4 linked regions of the Arabidopsis thaliana genome follow. The protein of the gene in region 3 interacts with the protein of the main gene of each other region in a pairwise test. Each region holds a gene or a part of one and is shown on either strand. Other genes may lie near its edges.

What was found.
Region 1: the proteins of MYB117 (region 3) and LOV1 interact in a two-hybrid assay, tested with the Arabidopsis thaliana proteins (one large-scale study listed by BioGRID).
Region 2: the proteins of MYB117 (region 3) and AT3G57600 interact in a two-hybrid assay, tested with the Arabidopsis thaliana proteins (one large-scale study listed by BioGRID).
Region 4: the proteins of MYB117 (region 3) and TCP1 interact in a two-hybrid assay, tested with the Arabidopsis thaliana proteins (one large-scale study listed by BioGRID).

Annotation. Positions count from the first base shown.
Region 1 is NC_003071.7:645,395-652,589, forward strand, and holds LOV1 (NAC domain containing protein 35), read left to right. Parts: upstream 1-2,143; 5' UTR 2,144-2,610; coding exon of another isoform or gene 2,611-2,649; coding exon 2,650-2,941; intron 2,942-3,083; exon of another isoform or gene 3,084-3,271; coding exon 3,272-3,540; intron 3,541-4,571; coding exon 4,572-5,255; 3' UTR 5,256-5,426; downstream 5,427-7,195. Other genes in the region: AT2G02455 (uncharacterized protein), read right to left, coding at 2,611-2,823. UniProt on the Arabidopsis thaliana protein: Transcription factor that acts as a floral repressor. Controls flowering time by negatively regulating CONSTANS (CO) expression in a GIGANTEA (GI)-independent manner.
Region 2 is NC_003074.8:21,329,012-21,334,426, forward strand, and holds AT3G57600 (Integrase-type DNA-binding superfamily protein), read left to right. Parts: upstream 1-3,762; 5' UTR 3,763-3,829; coding exon 3,830-4,663; 3' UTR 4,664-4,907; downstream 4,908-5,415. Other genes in the region: AT3G57587 (Ta11-like non-LTR retrotransposon), read left to right, coding at 1-346; AT3G57590 (F-box and associated interaction domains-containing protein), read right to left, coding at 1,171-2,385. UniProt on the Arabidopsis thaliana protein: Transcriptional activator that binds specifically to the DNA sequence 5'-[AG]CCGAC-3'. Binding to the C-repeat/DRE element mediates high salinity-inducible transcription.
Region 3 is NC_003070.9:9,268,736-9,274,448, forward strand, and holds MYB117 (myb domain protein 117), read left to right. Parts: upstream 1-2,216; 5' UTR 2,217-2,297; coding exon 2,298-2,694; intron 2,695-2,947; coding exon 2,948-3,382; coding exon of another isoform or gene 3,383-3,393; intron 3,394-3,480; coding exon 3,481-3,728; 3' UTR 3,729-3,978; downstream 3,979-5,713. Other genes in the region: AT1G26790 (Dof-type zinc finger DNA-binding family protein), read right to left, coding at 5,122-5,713. UniProt on the Arabidopsis thaliana protein: Probable transcription factor that involved in boundary specification, meristem initiation and maintenance, and organ patterning.
Region 4 is NC_003070.9:25,166,958-25,172,288, forward strand, and holds TCP1 (TCP family transcription factor), read right to left. Parts: upstream 2,351-5,331; coding exon 1,271-2,350; downstream 1-1,270.

The sequences.
Region 1 (7,195 bases), on a different chromosome or scaffold from region 3:
ATAATAATTAAAACTTTAACGAAGACAAACTCATGTGAAAATGTAATAATCAGAAGACAAAATATAAGTTAATAATATGTCATATATATAATAATAGAAATATATGTTCTTTTCGAATTAAAATTAAAAGGTCTTAATTTTTTACAATTGCAAAAACTTTAAACTGAAAAAATGATTTAATCTTCTGGAATGTACATTATATAATATCCGCCACCCTACTTGCTACCCCTAGCTAAAAGCCAAACCGATGGAAGACTCGCTTGCATTAAATTATGCACTAGCTTAATCTACTTTTAAACTCTCTTATAATACATTTAATTCCTAATTTCTATCGCCATTTTATATTTTTACTGATATCAATATTCGAAGGGTCCATGCCTATGATTCCATGTCATACATAATATTTCCTTTCATACCTACATTCATTTTAATGAAAACCTTAAATATATATCCAAAAGCTATACATTTATGTAAACTAAACTGGTATAATAATTTTTGAAATATGTGTATGTCTACTGATTTACTATTTGATTAGTTCGTAGTAAATATATTATAAATTGTTTAAACATAAAAACAAAAAAAATCATGTAACTAGATAATTTTCTTGACGAAGATTCGAATTAACAACACAAAAAAGTTCATTTTCTGATATCGCAATGGTCTAATTAATGGTTGTTGAATAGTTTATCTTTTCCACGTTTCATAAGCTTTTTTGGTACGCGACATCCATATTGAAAAATGTCTGTCTACACTGAGCTCAATCCAATGAAATTTGTTGTGAATGAGATATATGCATTCACGGATTTCTAAAAAATATGAAGTCCATGACATCCATTGAAACATTTGACAAAATAAAAATATAAAATATGAAGTCATTACAACGTAGAGTAAGGTTTCTAAAAACCCCACTCTCGTTTCGTAGAAGCCCCACTACCACCTCACTTTAATTTCATTCATTATCTCATTTACGTTGATACTTTAAATTCATTTTTCCATATAAACTTGTAAGTATGAAATTTGTACTTAGTATATATTTTATCTATCTTTCCATGATGAACTTAAATATATTACAGTTTGCCTAGCCTTTTTAGCTCAGCTATATATATATATATATATGCTAATGTTGTTACGATGTTTATTGTTTTGTGTCTATATCTTATTTACTTTTTTGAATTATTAATAAAATGGAACAATTATACATATAGATTATAGATACATATATCTAAATATAATATATTGTATCTATATATATTAATACAAATTTTAAAGAACTGGCGGGTTTCTAAATTCTAACATATGTACTGTAAGTTCAGCTTCTTACTAAGTCATAGGAACATGGAGAGCGTTGGCAAAATCATGGTCAGTTTGTTTTGCATTCATAATTGAAGACATAGTAGTATCATGCAATGAAGATATGGTGGGCCAAATATATCATAAAAAAAATAGCGAAACAATAAGAGAACGTTCGTGAAGCTGAAGCATATGAAAAACACGTAAATATATTTATGACGAGTGACATAGTAAGCATACGTGATATTATTATTTAATTAGTAATATAGGCCACCAATCAGAATTCTTTGTCTCAACGATGAATAAATTAACTATAATAATCCAAATTTTTAACATTGTTTTAAGAATATCCGTTATTCAATTAGTCTACCTATAACAATGAATTATTATGGATCCTTTATCGCTATGCCTTGATCAGGAGAATTAGATTAGTTACACTTTCGCAATTTTTGTAGCGATGGATTGGAACAAAAACCAAAACAAAATATAGACTATTTACACATAAATTATACATGAAATCAACTTAATTTGTTATTCTCTAAAGTTTAGATTGTCTTTATAAAATACCAATCATATACCTAACTAAAACTAATGAATCTTTAACGTGCATGAGATGGTGCATGTGCAAATAAAACTATAAAGAAAACCATGATATATTTTTTCTAAGAATGATAGTTTTTGGGAATTTTAGACTTTCGGTCTATATTTTTCGTATGTCCACACCAATTGTTGATATTGCATTTAAAACATTAATTATTATTTTTTCCAAGTATAATTGAACTAGTAACCATGAGGTCCATGACATCCATTTGAAAGATGTCAATTCGTAATATTGTTTCAAAATATTTTTTCGTTTATAATACATAAACTTTAATTTTTCCTGTAAAAGATATCAACTGTTCTTTTCATTTGTGTTACAACCCAATAATTATTAAATATTTGAAACTTTAGTATTTAGAAAAAATACATAAAACTAATAGATAGATATTTTATTTTATTTTGAAACAAAAAGCTAGAAATGGAGAGTGAGAGAAAGGTCCAAAGGCACGGCTAAGAAAACAAAACCGTGGACACCCTGTCCTCAATTTGACAAGTCTTTGTCTCCTCCTTAACTCTCTTCTTCTCTCTCTTTGTCTTATTCTAGTTTGGTCTCAACTCCCAAAAACGATGACGTTTCATTCCTATATAGTCGTCCTCTCTTCTTCTTCTCCTCCTCTTATCTCTACTCAACACCACTCAATTTCATCTCTCTTTTTCCCTTCCATTGTTAGTATAAAAACCAAGCAAACCCTTAATCACTTTTCATCATCATATATCACCTTAATCCACATGCATACACATATCTAGTCTTTTTGATATATGGCAATTGTATCCTCCACAACAAGCATCATTCCCATGAGTAACCAAGTCAACAATAACGAAAAAGGTATAGAAGACAATGATCATAGAGGCGGCCAAGAGAGTCATGTCCAAAATGAAGATGAAGCTGATGATCATGATCATGACATGGTCATGCCCGGATTTAGATTCCATCCTACCGAAGAAGAACTCATAGAGTTTTACCTTCGCCGAAAAGTTGAAGGCAAACGCTTTAATGTAGAACTCATCACTTTCCTCGATCTTTATCGCTATGATCCTTGGGAACTTCCTGGTAAATATACATTCACATAAACACACATAAATCATCTCAAACTATTTGGAAATCTTAATTTCTATTCATATGTTAAGATCTTTCTTCTCTCTTATCACTTTCTCTCTCTATTTCTTTTTTTTTAACCTATATATGTACCTACCTCCTTATGAAGTATTACTATGTCGATCGTTAACAATTCTCAATATCTTTAAACGCTTCTCCCTCTTTAGTTTCTTTCTTAAATTAACCTAATTAAACAACCTACATATATATCATAAGATATACAAATATGTGTATGTTTTCATAATTAGCTTATGTATGTTTAATCATAGATATATGTATATGCAGCTATGGCGGCGATAGGAGAGAAAGAGTGGTACTTCTATGTGCCAAGAGATCGGAAATATAGAAATGGAGATAGACCGAACCGAGTAACGACTTCAGGATATTGGAAAGCCACCGGAGCTGATAGGATGATCAGATCGGAGACTTCTCGGCCTATCGGATTAAAGAAAACCCTAGTTTTCTACTCTGGTAAAGCCCCTAAAGGCACTCGTACTAGTTGGATCATGAACGAGTATCGTCTTCCGCACCATGAAACCGAGAAGTACCAAAAGGTATAAATTCTACTATAACTCTATATATATCCTATTCATACATACATAGATATAACCCTAGCTAGGTGGTGAGGCCTTTAAAATTGAAATTAATCCCTAGACAGTTTGAATTTTTTCTTTTTTGACTAGTTTTATTTATTTATTTTGGAATTGATTCGATAAGATCAAAAATACTTGTGAATGGACTAAATGTCAGGCGGCGTTTGCGCTTAAATCCAGAAAAATGTTCATGTCATATGCGTGAACTCTTTAAATTGCTAGACATGGCCCATATGTTATAGTAGAATACATTAATAGATAGATGCATACACATATATATAAACACACAAGTATCACACTCGACATTCATATACCTTAATTCTGCAGAGACATAGTTAGTTTTTCTTACAATTTATGACATGAATGTTCCTGCTCTTCCTCACATTAATTCATGTCTTCTATTTAAGTTACCCAACATTTTTTGAAATAATTTGGCATATATGAATTATACCAACATATTTATATGCGAACATTTAAAATCTATACGAATGATAACGGTTTATGGAGTAGACCGAAAAAATATTATGTATACGGAAAATGACAATGGATAGATAAATACATTTTTTGGGCTCTTTCGACTTATATGTCGTCACCATTTGAAACCATAAATTTATAAAATTTTCTATGTATATATATGATATTATGATGTATGCATAAGACAGCTAAAACAACAGGGTTGACATAATTATCTATGTGTATGTATTGCACATTCACTTGTACTAATAAAACTAAAATTACGCAATTAAATATATAAAAAATAATAAATATAATCATCTTAATTATATTTGCATTGTTACGTCATATGATAGTACTCTAAATTTCTTCTAAACGTGCTATCTTTTTTTGCTAATGCTAACTTTACATAGTTTGTGAATCTTCTTTCAAAACCATATCTTCGATAAATGATATTTTTCATAGATATTGTTAGTCTATATTTGATAATTTGATATATGTATCAAGTCTCTAATCAATGTGCTCATGTATAATTATAGGCTGAAATATCATTGTGCCGAGTGTACAAAAGGCCAGGAGTAGAAGATCATCCATCGGTACCACGTTCTCTCTCCACAAGACATCATAACCATAACTCATCGACATCATCCCGTTTAGCCTTAAGACAACAACAACACCATTCATCCTCCTCTAATCATTCCGACAACAACCTTAACAACAACAACAACATCAACAATCTCGAGAAGCTCTCCACCGAATATTCCGGCGACGGCAGCACAACAACAACGACCACAAACAGTAACTCTGACGTTACCATTGCTCTAGCCAATCAAAACATATATCGTCCAATGCCTTACGACACAAGCAACAACACATTGATAGTCTCTACGAGAAATCATCAAGACGATGATGAAACTGCCATTGTTGACGATCTTCAAAGACTAGTTAACTACCAAATATCAGATGGAGGTAACATCAATCACCAATACTTTCAAATTGCTCAACAGTTTCATCATACTCAACAACAAAATGCTAACGCAAACGCATTACAATTGGTGGCTGCGGCGACTACAGCGACAACGCTAATGCCTCAAACTCAAGCGGCGTTAGCTATGAACATGATTCCTGCAGGAACGATTCCAAACAATGCTTTGTGGGATATGTGGAATCCAATAGTACCAGATGGAAACAGAGATCACTATACTAATATTCCTTTTAAGTAATTTAATTAGATCATGATTATTATCCATGACAATAATTATTAATGCTGCTTTGCCATATTTTCATACTCCTTATATATTGTTATGGCGATAGACAATGATTGATTACTGCGAGTTTATGTAATGGAACTGATTCTCAACATATATAGTCAATTAAGTAGTTTTTTTTTTCTTGTGTTAAAGTTAATTTCTTTAAGCTAGATTCAACGTAGTTAAAAAAAAAAAATTCACTGTAATATATGAATACAAAATGACTAAGGAGTGCAATCCGTATCAAAAGTTCTCAAACAAACCAAAGAAGAAATAAACTTATTGGATTAGATTTTCATGTACGAGCCCTAACCGAAACCAGACTAAAACCAAACACTAACTAAACCATAACAATAGTAACCGTAAATCCAACCTAGTGATATTTAATTTGGTCTTCATTCCATTTCAAAATTTCAAATTGAATGTTGATATTTTTTGTTGTTTATTCATCACTTATTAGAATTCATTTTGCATTGTCATTTACATGCATTAGATCCAAGATGTTTAATTTTAGTTACCTGTTAGTGCGACTTTATAGATAAACAATCCACTAACTCTTAAGAATTCAACAACTAATTTTGAGATAGAAATATATAAAGATAAAAGATGTTAGCTAGTTTTTTGTCTTTGTAAATATAAGACTAATTAGGGTTTGACAAAAAAAAAAAGCATAGGACGTGCAATATTTGGTAAGAGCAGTTGTTCCCGTGATTTTGTCAGATATGACCAGCATGAACAGTTGTATGTTGTAAGAAATCAGTTCCCTTTTTCTCAATGAGAAAAACAAATTTAAACTTGACTTAACTCTCATACTAGTCTTTTTAATCCTAATTATTAACAATCTTTAATAATATATGTAATGTGGCAAAATCCTAATATATACTGACTTGAATATGATACGAAAGTACTAATTTTAAAGTTTTTTCCCTTTCTAACCGGTCGATGTAACCGTATTTGCATGTTTTCTTAGATTATTTTAAATAATATATGTCTATCACCTATATTAGTAAGTATATATTCATAGATTATAGTTGATTTTGCCCAAAGAAAAAAGAAGATTATAGTTGATTATACCACATCATTGATATTCTGTGACGAATTAGATTACAGTTGCGGTAAACGTATTCGCTAGCTAGTACGACGTGCTTAACGCAAAAATATTCAAAGATAACGAATCCGATTAATATTGGTTCGTTTCTTAATTCTTACATCTAGAATCACACATAAAAACAATAAAATAATTAAAAATTTGATGAATTTTTTATTTTTTTGAGTGATAAAAGGCAAAATGTTTTCCGTTTTTTAGTAGCTTTCTCTTTCAAAATATCTATTTCTGGTGTATATCGTGAAAAAAACTTTCAAAATACGTGAATGTGATGATCGTTGAAAACTTCAAATCTCATTTCCCCTAGGTTACTATAAAAGCCCACTATCCTTTAATGGGCCAGGCATGCTATTTCTGTACAATACAAGATGGACCTGAATGTTTTAACTTTTAACTTTTATCTTTAAGGTCAAGTTAATTGAAAACAAAAACCAAATTTGTGGATCAATTTGGATGCCTCAGCCTACGTATAAAAACATGTTTTTTTTTCGTAATATTAATGGAAATGAATATGTTAAAAAAAAAAAATACATGTTTTTTTCGTCGACACTTTTAAAAATAAAATAAAATTTAAATAAATGTCTTTGACCAAAATAAAAATAATGTAAAATTTGGGAGTGGGGAATGTAGCTCGGAAAAAAATAGGGTATGTAGATCGGAATTAATAAATAGATTTTATATTATTACATAAACAATAATAAAATACACAATGTTGTCTTTATTTAATTAATACAAAAATAATAAAATAGACAATGTTGTCTTTATTAATATTACTTCTCAGCCCCAAAATTAATCTTTGATCGGTCCC
Region 2 (5,415 bases), on a different chromosome or scaffold from region 3:
GGAGACTTCATTTCCTGCTCCTGTGACACCGCCTCCTAGAATTGCTCATCCACCACTGAATCCTGAAGAATTGAGAGCTGCGTATCCATACTATGCATCAGTTAGAGATACTCATACATTACATGTTGGAGAATCTAGTACTGCAAGACAACAATGGTCATCGAGTTCTAGTACCACTCCAACAAGAGCAGACACTCCTAATCATGATAACAACAGAGTCTTTGAAGTCGGTCAATCCTCAAGAAGACAGGAAGTAAGAAGAGAAGCAGAGGATCCTAGACTTCAAACTCGTCTACACAGTGCTTCAAGAATGGGAGAGAGTCTGAAACCTCCCAAAAAGAGATAACCACTCTAACAAGACTTCTGTCAATTTTTGTTGAAGACTACAGGGAATCTAGGATAGCAGCTTCAAGTAGTTGGATATGTTTTTTTGGTTCTGACATATCCTTAACTTTGTTAAGTTTCAGGTTTATTATTTCATGTTTCTCGTTTTACTTCTAAGATCATCTTGTTATGTTTGAATCAAAGGTTTGTAAGTGGTTAGACCACTCAAACACTTTTTGTAAGAACACAATGACATGAATGAATGAAAGATAACTTTTAGGGAAAAAAAAAAAAAAAAACGAAAGAAATAGACAGTGAATTTGATGGGCCTTTGGGCTTTAGCGTAATTGTGAATGAGCTCATTTATTCATTGTCGTAATTTATGGTTTGTTCTCTCATGTGCCAATGAAGTCCGTATGTGTGCTAGCAAGCAAACGATGGTATTGGCCTAACTTTTCGTAGAGATTCTATAAAATTATGTGAAATGCAAAGACCAAATAAGTTTGGGTATAGAATCTCCAGCTACTTTTTAAAATACAAAATAATGATACCAGAGTACAGAAATTTAATAGACAGTAGAAATTGCACTTTAATTTCGGGTAGAAGATATCATTAAACTATAGGAAAAATTGATTAACCAAAAAAAGGTCAACAATGCTACAATACGATTCACTTCAAAATATTTGTAATACACTACCAAAGCTAGATTTGATTCATACTCACAGATCTTCCAACGTCTATAACTAAAGAACATAAACACATATATGACATGCCCTACTGCTTTTTACCTCATCCCTTGTCTCTTTTCTTCCCTACTGTCTCTTTCATTTCTTCTCTCCCTTTGGTTTAAGCCTTTTGGTAATGATAATCAGGCTGCGATACTTTGTTACAGCATGAGCAGAGATGCTTGACTTGAGAGATGCTTGACTTGAGTTGCTTCCCTTTGTTAACCCGAAGATCCTCTACATGGTTAACAAAAGCATAAACTCTACCACAATTCTCAACCGCTTCAAGGTTAGCTCCAAAATCTTGGATTTCAACGCTCTGGAGAGTGTTCCTCTCGGGATTGAAGTAGAACACATAAAACGGTTTACATGTATATTTCATACACAAAACAATATCACCTCTAGTAGTCACTCCAGCAACTGAAAAGTCGCAGGAATCAAGGACTTCATTCTCCGGCAGAGTGTACACATATTTAACCCATTCATGCTTCTCGGCATCCTCTAGAACCCACATACGCAACTCAACGGTGCGCCTTTCACCAGCTTGACCATACTTCCAATTAATCCCACTTAATTTACCCTCATAGTTTACCAAAATCAACCCACTAGTATCATCAAGTTGATCATTAAAGCATCCTGCGTCAAAATACTTAAATTCCTCAGACCTTACATCAAAGCAAATGATCACACAAGACGGTACACCAAGAGTCTGAGCTAAGTAATACAAAACTCCATTGATACATATTCCTTCACTCAAAGAACGATCATATGCAGGACAACTAATGATATTACTCCTCCAGCTCAGTTCCTCAGTTCCTAATGTCAGAATCTCATGATGTTCCCTTTGATCAGAAAATGGATAAGCCTCAGACAATACCTTGAATTGCTTACCAATGGGATCAAACCCTAGAAAGCCTCGAGCATTTTTGTACCTCATCAGATCAGGTAAGCTCTCATACATTCCTGTGGTAGGGTTACAAATCACAGGCGATGCATCTTTTGAGAGCCACAAATCAGGGAAACAGAGCAAACCTGAGACATAGCTACAAATGAATCGGCTTACGTCTCCTGAGAATTTTGTATGATAATCCAAATGAGAAGACTTCTCATATCGATTCTGTGGCTGCGGCGACGAGAAGAAGAGCCACTCACCATTTCGTTCGGCAGCAAACAGCAGACGTGGACGATTCGAGGATCTGGTCAGGAAGAGCTCGGTGAAAACTGGACTGCGAAGCATAGACGCCCAGTGCTTCGACAAGGTACGAAATCCAATGACTGACTTCGCCGGCAATCTCGAGAAGATCTCGAGAATGAGATCATTTGGGATTGGTTCCATGAAGAAGCGTTTATTGCCGCCGGAGTGTGTGATTGTTTCGTCGGAGAAGGAGAAGGTTTAATACGACGCAACAAGATTGGGATTGTATGGGCCTTTGGGCTTTAGCATAGTTGTGAATGAGCTAAGCCCATTTATTCATTGCGATAATTGGGACTTTTGGTTTGTTCTCTCACGTGCCAATCGGTATGTTAGATATGTGGTAGCGAATGAAGGATTAGTTTTCACAGGGATTCTAAATATCATGTAAAATGTAAAGACCAAATATGTTTTGGTAACTGGTTATGGAATCTCTAGCTACTATTAGCAACAAAAAAAAAAGACAGTAGAGGTAGAGCTTGCTTTTTGATTTAGGATGAAGAACAATTGTTTAATGGCTAAAGCAAAAGCTTAGTATCTGGTGACAAATGTGTCAATACAGAGATAAATTTATTAGGCTTAGCACTCCTTTTTTTGGATTAAACAATCAATAAAAACGAAATAGAAATATAATCAGTTTGTGTTTTTGCTTTAGTGAAACAGAAGAAAATGGGTTCAGTTATTACTTTTTCTTTATTTTTTGGGATTTGTGTAGAATTATGTACAAGTCATATACTATTAAAATAAATGGGATTAGGGAACAATGTGGTGAGTTAAATGTGATGGTAAGAGAGGAAGGAAGAAGCATGGGATAATGGTGAAGGGAGCGGCGCTTAAATCTGAAAATCTCGAGAATGAAGAAAACACGTCACTTCACTCTCACGATCGAACATGTGATTCTTGTGTGCTGCGACGACTCGTGACTCTTGCCTCTCTTTTTCTCATGCATGGCTCTCCGATTCTCCGACGAAAGAAGGAAACAACAAAAAGATAAAGATGAGATATCGTAAAAGCTTTAAAGCTTTAAAGTGTCCTCAAGAAAAATAATTCTAGGAACCCAAAAAACCTTGTCTCGCTAGATATCTTGGTAACATGTACAAGTAAAATATTAGAGCTAGTCATAACAAAGAAAAACAAAAAAAAAAACATTTGAGTTCCTGATGATTAACAGAAATTTTTGAACATAATAATCCAAAAAAAAAAAAAATGTGTGTGTGCAATTGTTCTAACTTCTTAAGCTATCATCAAAAAGGTGTAATAACTAATAAGGTTGGCATTGCGACTGTTTGGAATGCAGGGGACACCAAGAACTAGGGATTATATTATTCTAGTTTGAGCCTAGGTAGAAGAATTATATAAATATGAAGTTGAGATCAAAAATGGTTAAAAGTTTTTTTTTTTTTTTTTCTTTTGAAAATAACAGAATATGAGAAAAGCAACGGTCACATGCGCGGGTGAAAAAAGCAATTCTCTAGGAATTGAAGCGAACCGTGACATTATTTAAGCACTCACATACTCTTTCTAAGCTCCATTATCATATCCTCTTCTTCCTTCTTCACTATCAATCTTCTTCTCCACTACAACACAAATGGAGAAATCATCCTCAATGAAACAATGGAAGAAGGGTCCTGCTCGGGGTAAAGGCGGTCCACAAAACGCTCTTTGTCAGTACCGTGGAGTCAGGCAAAGGACTTGGGGCAAATGGGTGGCTGAGATCAGAGAGCCCAAGAAGAGGGCAAGACTTTGGCTTGGCTCTTTCGCTACAGCTGAAGAAGCAGCTATGGCTTATGATGAGGCTGCCTTGAAACTCTATGGGCACGACGCATACCTCAACTTACCTCATCTTCAGCGGAATACAAGACCTTCTCTGAGTAACTCTCAGAGGTTCAAATGGGTACCTTCAAGGAAGTTTATATCTATGTTTCCTTCATGTGGTATGCTAAACGTGAATGCTCAGCCTAGTGTTCACATAATCCAGCAAAGACTAGAAGAACTCAAGAAAACTGGACTTTTATCTCAATCCTATTCTTCTAGTTCTTCCTCCACCGAATCAAAAACTAATACTAGCTTTCTTGATGAGAAGACCAGCAAGGGAGAAACAGACAATATGTTCGAAGGTGGTGATCAGAAGAAACCAGAGATCGACCTGACCGAGTTTCTTCAGCAACTAGGAATCTTGAAGGATGAAAATGAAGCAGAACCAAGTGAGGTAGCAGAGTGTCATTCCCCTCCACCATGGAACGAGCAAGAAGAAACTGGAAGTCCTTTCAGAACTGAGAATTTCAGCTGGGATACCCTGATCGAGATGCCAAGAAGTGAAACCACAACTATGCAATTTGACTCCAGCAACTTCGGAAGCTATGATTTTGAGGATGATGTATCCTTCCCTTCCATCTGGGACTACTACGGAAGCTTAGATTGAGTAAAAGCAATTTAAGGTAGATCAAGATTCAGAAGTACACAAATGGTTTTGGATTTAGTGTAGCGTTTTGGAAAAGAGACATAGGTAGTGAGAGTGCAGTCTTTTATTATGCAGCAATAAAGTGAGTCAGTGTACAACCGAGTTGTTCGCTTTTTTTGGTATATTAATGAAGCATGTTCATTTTTTCGCTATCCTTTAGCTCGATAGTTTAAATAGTAAGTGAAAGTCACGGCCCTAATAGAATGATATGTTTTGTGCAAGTAACAATGCAAAAAAGCTTACCTATCATATCCCCTTTCATGGAGATCACATCTAATATCTCAATAATACTAGAAACTCATGATCAATAAATAAAGATCATGATGGTATGAACAAATTTTTAAGATTCGCCTTCGAACTGACCAACGCAAACTTTCTGTCGAGAAAAGAAAACAACAAAACTGAATAACCTAGAGACATATCACACGATGCATAAACTCCCACCAGAAAGTTTCACCTGCCAGCACTGATCAAAATCTGAAGAAATTTGCTAAGTATAGATAACATCCACAGATATTCAACAAGCATAAACAGCAGCTACAATGAACCTTCACGACTTTCTCAGGTTTAAGACATAAAAGGATCTCTTATCAATGGAACGAATAGAGTAAGATCAAACACGAAAGCTTAAACATTATGAATATAGCAACCTCACTGCTTAAGCACAGAATTCCTCTTCATTCCAATATTAGAAACAATGCAACAGATACACT
Region 3 (5,713 bases):
AAAAAGGTATGTTCAAGCTTGTAATCAATTTTGGACTGAGTCACGCATGGACCGTAGCTAATATATCCACCGAAACGGATTGACCATGAGATCGCAATCTATTTTATACCTCAGATAATTTTTGTCCCCTCACTATATGAGCTTTACATACATCTGTTTCCAGAGTAATTTAGTTGCTTATTCTGTTAGTCACTCCCTAAAACAAGCTACTACACTCGATCAAGCAGTAACATCAAACTCCTTTAATCTTCCAAGTTAGACTCTCTTCTTACTTTTCAAGGTATGTTTAAATATTTAACATGTTTATAAATAATTCCATGTGTAAATAGAACATATGTTTTTAATAACTTAGTATTTTAGACGAAAGAATCGAAAATCTAGTACTAGTCTACTGGATATAAACAAAGTAACAAGATAGATTCATAGCCCAAAACAAAAGAACAACCAAATCGAAGTCCCACTTTAGCTAGTGGCTCTACTTACAAACAAACATAATTAATAGTGTGTTTCACCATATTTTATTTCATCATTTCATTTTAAACGGTAAAAAAAAACTGATTACAATTTTTATAAATGTTTGTTCTGCAAAATATAAAATTAAATAAAGCTGCATAACTTTCTGTTTCATAAAATTATATAGTTCATATATACTTCTTCACCCAACCTTTTATTTCATATTTCATATATAATATTAATGTGTATTTCAAAGTGATTGACCAATTAAAAAGAAAATATGACGAAGAGAAAGAGAGTTTGTAGTGCGTTCGGTTAAATCTCTGTGCAGAGGATCGTACAGTTCTGAGACCCCTTTTGTATCTGTATTTATCCCATATTTAATGGTTACGTCTGCCAATTGGGATTTCTGGTCAAATACGAAAAGGTCTTAAAAGTTATTTCTTTACATTTTTACTGTTCATTCTCATTACTTATACACACTTCCACACGGCCACATTCCTCATGTATGTGGGATATTTAGGGTTGAGAGTTTTTTTGAATTGGCATTGTAATATCTCGTTATTAAAAACCATGAGACTGCTACAAAGAATAAAACAGTCAAAATTTCAAGATTATTTGATACAACATGACAAGGAGAAAATGAGTATATTGAAGCGATGTTTAATTAAGAAAAAAATTGAATGAAGAAAAAAGATTGTGGTTAATTTTTTAAGATAAGAGAGGGTTTCACAGAAACAAAAATGGTAGTAAAAAGTAAAGGAATGAAAGACAAGTGGAGATTAAGAGAGAAAGAGGTAAATTTTAAGGAACCCAAAATGAAATGAAAGAAAAAGCTGTCTGAGAATTGGTTGTGCTAAGAAGAGACCCGACTCATTCCCCAATGGTAAACTCTCTTTTTGCCTTCATCCTTTTTTGGTAGTTAGTTCTGCTTCAGCTTTTTTTCTTTCATCTCATTAGCTTTTATTATTTTCACCTTGCACCTATAAAACATGCATTGATTAATAGAGGATAAATTTCACCTAATAACGGTAAGATTCATTTCGGACTCGTCCAAGATATTCTCTACATTCATTGTTTTTTAGGTCGACACTCCCAACATTAATTTATTTTGTCATAATCCATTGGTTTTCATTAAATAAAAGAGGAAATACTATCTTATACATCAAACTAAGATAAACATTAATTATTCATAAAAGTAGGAAATTTGTATAAGGAACCATAGAGAAGCAGCGTAATTAATGTTATCGTTTGATTATGAACCCTAATACGACTATAAAACTATTGCATACTTTTCAATTACTATCAATCTATGGACATGGAAAAAAACTTGGTCTTCAAATCTTAGTTACTTTTAAATTTAATAAATGATTTATCAGAAAAACTCTTTAACTTCTATGAAACTAGGTACACCTGAACAAATGTATAACAGTCCACAGCAAAATCGAATATCGATAATACACATTTGTACTTACTTATTACAGTAGTGTATATGTAATATATATAATAATGTATAAATGCAAAGAACTCTGTCGTTTGAATTAGTCCGTGACGACGGTCCATAACCCTTTTTAACAGTCGTCAGAAAACACGGTCGCGACATGTACATACACGCACATACCTAAAGCCATACGTAACAAACACACCATTATATACAAAAGATATTCTATTATTTTTAAAAAATAATATTTATGACACACATTTACGTACGTGTATATATAATATGCAAATGCACTCACATAAGTCTTTCTCCTCCGATGGTATATGTCTATAAGCTGACGTGACATCTCTCTTAATTCTCAATAACACTTCTCTTCTTCTTCCTTTCTCCCAACACTAACTCCATGTTTATAACGGAAAAACAAGTGTGGATGGATGAGATCGTCGCAAGAAGAGCTTCTTCTTCTTGGGACTTCCCTTTCAACGACATTAATATTCATCAGCATCATCATCGTCACTGCAACACAAGTCATGAGTTTGAAATCTTGAAGAGTCCTCTTGGAGATGTAGCGGTTCACGAAGAAGAGAGTAATAATAATAACCCTAATTTCAGTAACAGCGAGAGTGGTAAGAAGGAGACAACAGATAGTGGTCAGTCTTGGTCCTCGTCGTCTTCAAAACCATCGGTCTTGGGGAGAGGACATTGGAGACCAGCTGAAGATGTTAAACTCAAAGAGCTTGTCTCCATTTACGGCCCACAAAACTGGAACCTCATAGCTGAAAAGCTTCAAGGAAGATCTGGTAAGTTAAATCAAAACCTTATTTATTTTCTATTTCTTTTGACAGCAAGTTAAATCAAAACCTTATAGATCTTCAAAATTTCATCAAAACCAGTTTGTTTGATTCATCTGGATCTGTCAAGTTCTTAAGATCCGGTGATAAAATCAATTTTTGTTTTTATTAGTTTTCTTGGTCTTTAGCCTTCTATGTCCAATCTAAGTCCTAACGTAATTTTTTTTGAGTTTTATTAACTTAATCTTGATTGTTTTTAAAGGGAAGAGCTGTAGACTACGATGGTTTAACCAATTGGACCCGAGGATAAACCGAAGAGCTTTCACAGAAGAAGAAGAGGAGAGGCTGATGCAAGCACATAGGCTTTATGGTAACAAATGGGCAATGATTGCGAGGCTTTTCCCTGGTAGAACTGATAATTCAGTGAAGAACCATTGGCATGTTGTCATGGCTCGTAAGTATAGAGAACACTCTTCTGCTTACCGTAGGAGAAAGCTTATGAGTAATAATCCACTTAAACCTCACCTCACCAATAATCATCATCCTAACCCTAACCCTAATTACCACTCTTTTATCTCCACTAATCATTACTTCGCTCAGCCTTTCCCCGAGTTTAATTTGACTCATCACCTGGTTAATAATGCCCCTATCACGAGTGACCATAACCAGCTTGTGTTGCCTTTCCATTGCTTTCAAGGTAGCCTATAGCTCTTCCTCCTCTTTCAATAGTTTTTTCAATTGTCTTTTGCATATTTTGAACTCTTTTTTGGTTTTTGTTATATCTACAACGTTCAGGTTATGAGAACAATGAACCTCCGATGGTTGTGAGTATGTTTGGCAACCAAATGATGGTCGGCGATAACGTTGGTGCCACGTCAGACGCGTTATGCAATATTCCGCACATTGACCCTAGTAACCAAGAGAAACCGGAGCCAAATGATGCAATGCATTGGATCGGAATGGACGCGGTAGATGAGGAGGTGTTCGAAAAGGCTAAGCAGCAACCACATTTTTTCGATTTTCTTGGCTTGGGGACGGCGTGAATGTTGAACAAATTGGTGTTAATCAGATAACGACAGTGGTTAAATTTGGTTACAAAAAAAATAGCATTTAGCTTTAGTAGCTAGAAAACAAACAAACCAGATCCTAGCCTTTGTCCTTGCGTTTACGTTAATTACTAAACTGTAGATTGTTGTTGTTGGCACTTGGTTGTCTAGTGTAACATTTGATAAGTCATTGTTTTTAGTAGTACTCGTTCAGAAATATTTAACAAAGAGAGATTGGTTTTAAAAAGTTGATTCTTTTATGATGAAGTGACGTGAAATATTGCTAAAGACGTGTTGAGAATAACAACGAGAGAGAGAGAGAGAGAAGGGAAATTAAAAAGAGTGGAGTTTCTAGGAGTTGGAGAAAGAGACGAAGATGCGTAATTAAGAGAAGAGGAACTGCCAAAATTGAGGCAGAGATTGTGCAACAGAAAGGCCAAACATGAAACATGCTCACCAAATCTCACACACACATTGCATTTGTTTCTTCTCTTCAAACCGTTTTTCCAACTCTTCAAGCTTCTTACCTATGTATCTCTCTCATGTCACGCGGACCCACACATGCCCTTCTTTCTTGTAATTCTTTCCATGTTGTAGATATAAAAGAAAAATTTAAATTGAATTGTTCTTTTGTATAGTTTTGGTTGGGTTAAAAAAAAAGGAAAAAAATTAGTTTTGGTTTTGAATATGAGTTTTTAAAATAATATATAACGTGGATAAATGTATGGGTTTTTCGGATTTTGAAAGGTTGTTGTAGAGAAGATTTTTAATTTACCCATTGGGTCTGAAATTGCTTCAATAGGCCCAATCTATTTCGGAGATGTTCTCGAGTCTCTCTTTTTGGGAACAAACATCCGAGTGAAGTCAATATTAAGTGATTTTCGAAAAGATAAAAACTATTCTAAAACTAATTAACATTTTTCCACTCATTTTAGTAATTCTCCCAAAGTAAAGTGCTTAAAGAGAGGGGGAAAAAAGTGCTTAAAGTGTTTTCTTCTTATTGTTTCCCTTTATACGCAAATGAAGAGACTTATTTTATTTTCAAAGAAAGAGACTTTTATGTTTCTCCTTTAGCTTTTAGTTTGTACCAATCAGATGGATTCTGTACCAAGGACTCCAAGTTAAGATTCTCTACTTTTTCTCCTTTACATGAAAATTCACACATATGTTTTTTTTCCAATTAATTTATACACTAGTACTACAAAATACAAATAATGGAGTAAACAATATTTTCGAACCACATTTACCAAAAAAGACATTACACTTCAGCATTTCCATCTGTTTGGATAATCTACAAAATGGGGATTGTGGTATATAAATAAGATAGATATTAAAAGTTAATTCATCACACAAAAAAAGGTATCTACAAAGTTTCTTTTCTCCTTTAACGTTATATGCTCTCTCTGAAGTTCATAGATCTTGCCATGGCTGCAGGGTTTGCTTGCAGGTTAAGATACGTTTCAGGGACGAATCTGTTGTTGCTGCTCTTTGTTTCAGCTCCATTACTGAAAAAGCTGAATTCTTGTGTCTTCTCGCGGGTCATCGGTACTGGATACCACACATGGTTATTTGTAGCCATACTTGTTTCATTTTTGATGCTCTGAGATTCCAAAAGCAAGCTTGTTCTCTCAAAAGCATTTTTACTCTCTTTAACAGTTTCATGAGAAGTTTCGTCTCTTGTCCTTTTCCCAAGACATGTAGAAGTGTCGAGGGTAGACCAAACCGGTATCGCGCAGCCCCAGTAGACGGGCATGTGGTAGAAACTAGGGTTTGGAGGGTATTGGTAAGGCCAAGGAGGCGAAACAGGGGATGCTTGGGGAGGAAGTAACCCTTGGAAGTTGTTGGGTTCTTGTGAAACAGGTTCAGCGTTTATCTTCACTTCGTTTGATTGATGCTTAGGCCTCTCAGTTACCAAAGAGTCCGAAGACTCGAAGCTTAGAATCTTTGTTGAGGAGCTATTGTAATTGTCAGTATCCTCGGAA
Region 4 (5,331 bases), about 16 Mb from region 3:
TTTACACGTTTTCATTAACTCCTAACATTCAGTTTCTTAAAAAGTTTTACGTTTTGATAGGATTTCCGACTAAATTGTAAATTAAATTAAAACGACTAAATTCTAGAATCTCAAATTGGTGAATATCAAGTTTCATAAGCAGAATTGATTGGCTAATCTCTTGTATATATGGATCTATTTGGGGTCAGCTAGGAACAACAATATTGATTTAGGTTCATGTCAACGTGTGTTTGGAGTTTGAACTATGATAGCATATTCAGTTTTGAGGATTTATAATAATTCAAACAAATTGGTAGTGACTGAATTGATCCATGTACTTATTTACTACTAAGTGAATGTTATCATTTCAAAACATTGAGTTTTCTTTTGGATTTTTTTTTTTCACATCTCTAGTCAGAGTTTAACCTAAAAGCCTTAAACAAATCTTACTCGAATATGTTAAGTTAACAATCATTGTTTCCAAAACGCCAAACTTCAAACCCCATAAACAAACAACTCATATTTGCTTCAAAAAGCATCATTGCAAAACATCCTCCGAGTAAGAGAATAAATACACCAATATATAAATGTGTATATATCTTCTATATAGACAATAATATGAAAGTAGGATATATTCTCCTCATACCTGGATGGCCAAATCACAAACTATGAATCAAATAGACACCACGGCAGGCACGCCTCCACATTCCACACACTAATTCTCAGTGTCACCTTCAATTTGCAATGTAACTACTTCAGTTTCACTACGACCCTCAATATTCATCATCATACATATTTGGTTTTGTGGGTCTTAATTGAATTTAGGGTTTGAAGAACAAATTCTAATATATGGAGCTCTAACTTAAACAAAAATGGCTTAATCTTAAAGACTAGCTCTTATGTGTAGTGCCTAATCGAAGTATGAATCTTGGATTGTAATGGGATGACCAAATATATAAACATGTTCTTATTCATCTTCAAAATATATAGTTCAAAAGGTTACAATAATACCACTTAAAAGTTGTAGCTAAAATATTACACAAACTGAATCTTAAAATGACAATTTTGATCAAGGCACAGAAGATCAATAAAGATACGTTAAAAAGGAACAGATATACATAACTATAGATTTTGTATACATTCAGAGGAATAAGGGACTATATTGGCTTACATGTTTAAACTTGATCATGCATAGTCCTTCAAAACTGTCGAGATTTATAGGAAACCTGCCAGAAACAATCAAGAGAAAGAAAACATATCATAGAATGCAAACATATATATGAACAATAATTTAGTTTACAAAAGAGTCTTGAATCCAAACTTTACCTTTGGGGAAATTTTTGTCGGTGACTACATATAAGGTTTGGTCATGAAAAGGGTTTTGATCATAACTATAATCCAAATTTTGAGGCAGAAATGTATTATAGTTGCTGCTAGAACTCTGATCTACCAACATAAGTATCCCATTATTTTGATTGTAACTTTGACCCATCTTCGTTGGTAGAGTCATATTGGTTAAGATAGATTCTTGATTATCAAACTCCTCGATTGGTTCCTTGTAGAAAAGGTGTGTCATATCTTCTCCTTCATTGAAGACTATAGACCTCTTGAATGGGTCCATGATTTCAGATTGTGTAATATCAGAGGCAGTCTCTGGATTATCATAGGCCATCATCTCTTTTGTTCGCTCCTTTGCTTTTCCTCTAGCTTTGGCTCCTAGCCCCTTTGATGAGATGTTTCTCAACTCACTCTTCTTCTTTCTTATCCCTGCCTTCGTGGCCTCACATACCACTTCTTCTTCACCGTACCCGGGGCTCAAACCATACACGAAGCTCTTATCGCCATTGTCATCCTCCTCCTTCTCCTCTTCTTGTTCTACATCGCCTCCAATGTTTCCAAAATCTTCATCATCATTGTTGAGGTTTTTTGCTTGTACGACCTCTTTGATGGCTTTTCTTGACTTCTTGAGCAGCCAGTCTAACGTTTTACTAGCTTTATCAAACCCCAACATATCCTGAAGATCAAAGAATTGGCGAGCAATCCCAATAGAAAGCCTAACCCTCCTGTCTCTAATCCCTTGTGCCGTTTGAATCTTGCTATGTCGGTCCTTCTTCACCACCTTCTTGATTTCCTTTGACACCTCAGGAAACTCAAAGCCTTGTTGATTCACAACATTATTTGACTTAAACGCCATGTAATCGATCAGAGATTCAGGAACTGCTGATACCATATGGCCCGGAGATGCTTTTAACTGATGGTTGTAGGGATTATGAATGATGTCTTGATGGCCAGAGAGTGAAGAAAGGTAAAGAGAGAGAGGGTACACTCCATTGTTATTACCATCGTTGTAGTCATTGGTGGAAGACGACATCACCGAACTTAAGAAGCTAAAAAAAACCAAGAATCAAGAATCAAGAACCAAGAATCAAGTATTAAAAATATGCCTTTTTCTTAAGAAACAAAAGCACAACTTTCACATCATCAAAAAGAGAGAATCTGGCAGAGAGAGAGAGAGATAGTAAGCGTACAATTTCTCACACCAGCAAAAAAAGAAAGAAAAGAAAAAAACTATAGAGATATTAATGGTGTAAGAGATGTGTAACAAGAAAATGGTTAAGTGTACAGTGATGAAGACATGATTTTGTGTATGTAATTGAAGATCTGCTCGCAAAAAAGCAGATCTGTTCTTCTCCTCTCTCACTCAGTTACAGGTTAATTTTTCACTAGGGTTTACAACTTTTTTCTAGGGTTTTCAATTCCAGATCTAATATCTGGTTATGAACTTATATATTGGGGATTAACCTCAAACTCAACTATTTTTAGTATCTTCTTAACATTTTACTTTTACTACGTATACATATACAAGTAGGTAACGTACCTTTCGTATGAGTGCTCCACAAAAGCAACATCTAATTAACATGGCCCATATAGTCCAAAAATAATAATTCAACAATAGAAGACGACATATGAAGGATTTGTTTCCATTTCAATGATAAACATCACGCTTTTAAGAGTCAGTATTGAAGGCGATCGATGTTCTTGAATGTATAGTATTTCACTGTTTTTATTTTTTGTCGGATCTCAGACAAGATCTGCTTTGCTTTCGTTTTGGATATAAAAAAAAACTTCTATTCTTTTGTCCAGTGGTTTCTAGTTTTTCCTACATGCCATGGAAATGGAAATTTAGATTTTTTTTGGTGGGTGAATTAGTTTTGACCGGTTAACGAAACTATAGATATGGAATAAATGTGTAGTGTACATATAACAACGTAACATAAACATTATCCCTTTATTTAGGGTTTTTGTCAAAAGAGAAAAGAGGCTTTAATGTGACCTGAGTTGGTTTCCCGTACGATTGAAGATTGTGAAAAGATTTGTCGTTTTCAATTTTCTTTTGACGTCTCTAGCTAGTAGTCAAGGGTTGTTCTAATTTACAGTGGGCGCAAATGCAATATATGCATTCATGCACCCAACTGTTTATATACAAAACCATAGAAAATATAGTTTTTTTTTTTGTTATCACATAAAAATAGTATTTTATCATTTTAGTAATTTGAAATGTGTAACAATATAAATACGACGGTTTTAAAAGATATTTGAAATGAAAAAAAAAATAAGTTGAATCATGACAAAATAAAGGAAACTATATAATTATAACGGTTTCAAGCTTAACAATTTAGGGTTGAGTAGAATTTGGGGTTTTAGATTTTAGTTCTTGGATTTAGTGTTTAGTTTTTAGAGTTTGGAGTTTATAATTTAAAGTTTATAGTTTAGATTTTAGTTAGTATTGTTAATTTATACAAATCTACACTAGTTTCTACCCTAGTAAGTTTAAGGGACGAGTGATTTCTGTTTTGGGTACTTTGAGTTTATTGGAAAAAAAAATTTTCCCCAGGAGAGCTATTTTTTACAGATATTTATACCCTAGTATTTAAATAGGCTTTTAAATCGGTCAATCTATTAAACTCATGTTAGTATAATCGCATAACCGTTTAAGGATTTTAAATCGCAATTGACTCAATTAATTGAAGTTGTCTAATTGTGATGAATTTAATAGTTTAGGTGGAATTATGAGGTTTATGATATAGTTCATGGTGAATTGGGCAGAGTCTAAAAGTACACGGTGATACGAGTTGAACACCTATAATTCGTGTCGGTTTAAACATTTTATAGGCCTTAGGGCTAATTTTTAAAATAAGTCCCTAGCAATGTAAATTGTACAGTTATTTTTTTATATAGAAACCTTTATAAATTTTTTTATATGTTATGAGTATAGGAAAATAAATTTTATGAACTTTTTTTCTCAGAAATGTTTTTTTGGGCCCTTCTTACCCATATTTTTTTATTTTGCCTTCTACCTGTACTTTGTTTTTCTTGGATATTTTTTATCCATCAATATGAGGTACTTGAATTTGAAATATTTTTAGTGGTTATTTTACGATTTTGAGGAAAATATCTGAACTAGGATTGAAGCTAAAAGGAAGGGAATATGTTCGACTATCAAATCCGGGAAGCTTAGAAAATGTGTGAGGGAAACTGGTAAATTAAAACAAGCCATCTATCAACGTAAGTCTCTAAAAAATGAAACTCCAGCAGAAGTCGCTGAGCTTTTTTTTCTTTAATAAGAAGTAAATCGAAGATAGATTTGAAAAATACGAAGTGGCGAACAGCAAATTGAGGAATTGAGGAACATGTATTTAGGATATTAGGGTTTACAGAGTACATAAAGAAAAGGAAGGAAGATAGTGAAGTCGCCCAATTATTTCACTCAACAATGGTATAAATTTCGAACACTTGTTGTAGATGGAAGTTTTGGAGAATGAGCTTTTGGTTTTGGTCAGTGGTGGAGACTGGAGACAAGAGAGTCTTCAATGGAGAGAGGTTTTTTTTTTTTTTTTATTAAACAGGAAATGGTCATTTTTGAGTTATTTGATTCTAAAGTCTCTTCAAATTTCATGTTAGAATATGTGGGTTTGTTTATGTATTAAATAGATGTATCTAAAATCTCTTAAATTCTTCGTTTAATATGTGCTTTTTAGAGACATGGATGCATTCCACCCAAAATCTATAGATCATGGGCTACCACTTTAGTTTACATATTTATATTTTATATTTTCATTTTCAAAGCAATCATCTTAAGTCTTCTAATATTGGTAACAAATTTATATCCCCAAAATCTACATCTCGCTAGGATGCTAGAACATCGTTCATTTTCATCATCGAGTATCCAAACTAGTAAGAGAAAGTCCATTTATGTCGGTTGTCAACTAAGTAGAATCTCTTACAGATGGTTAGCGAACATGTAGCAATGATATATTTGGTATAATAATCCTGAGCCTCAAATACTACAGT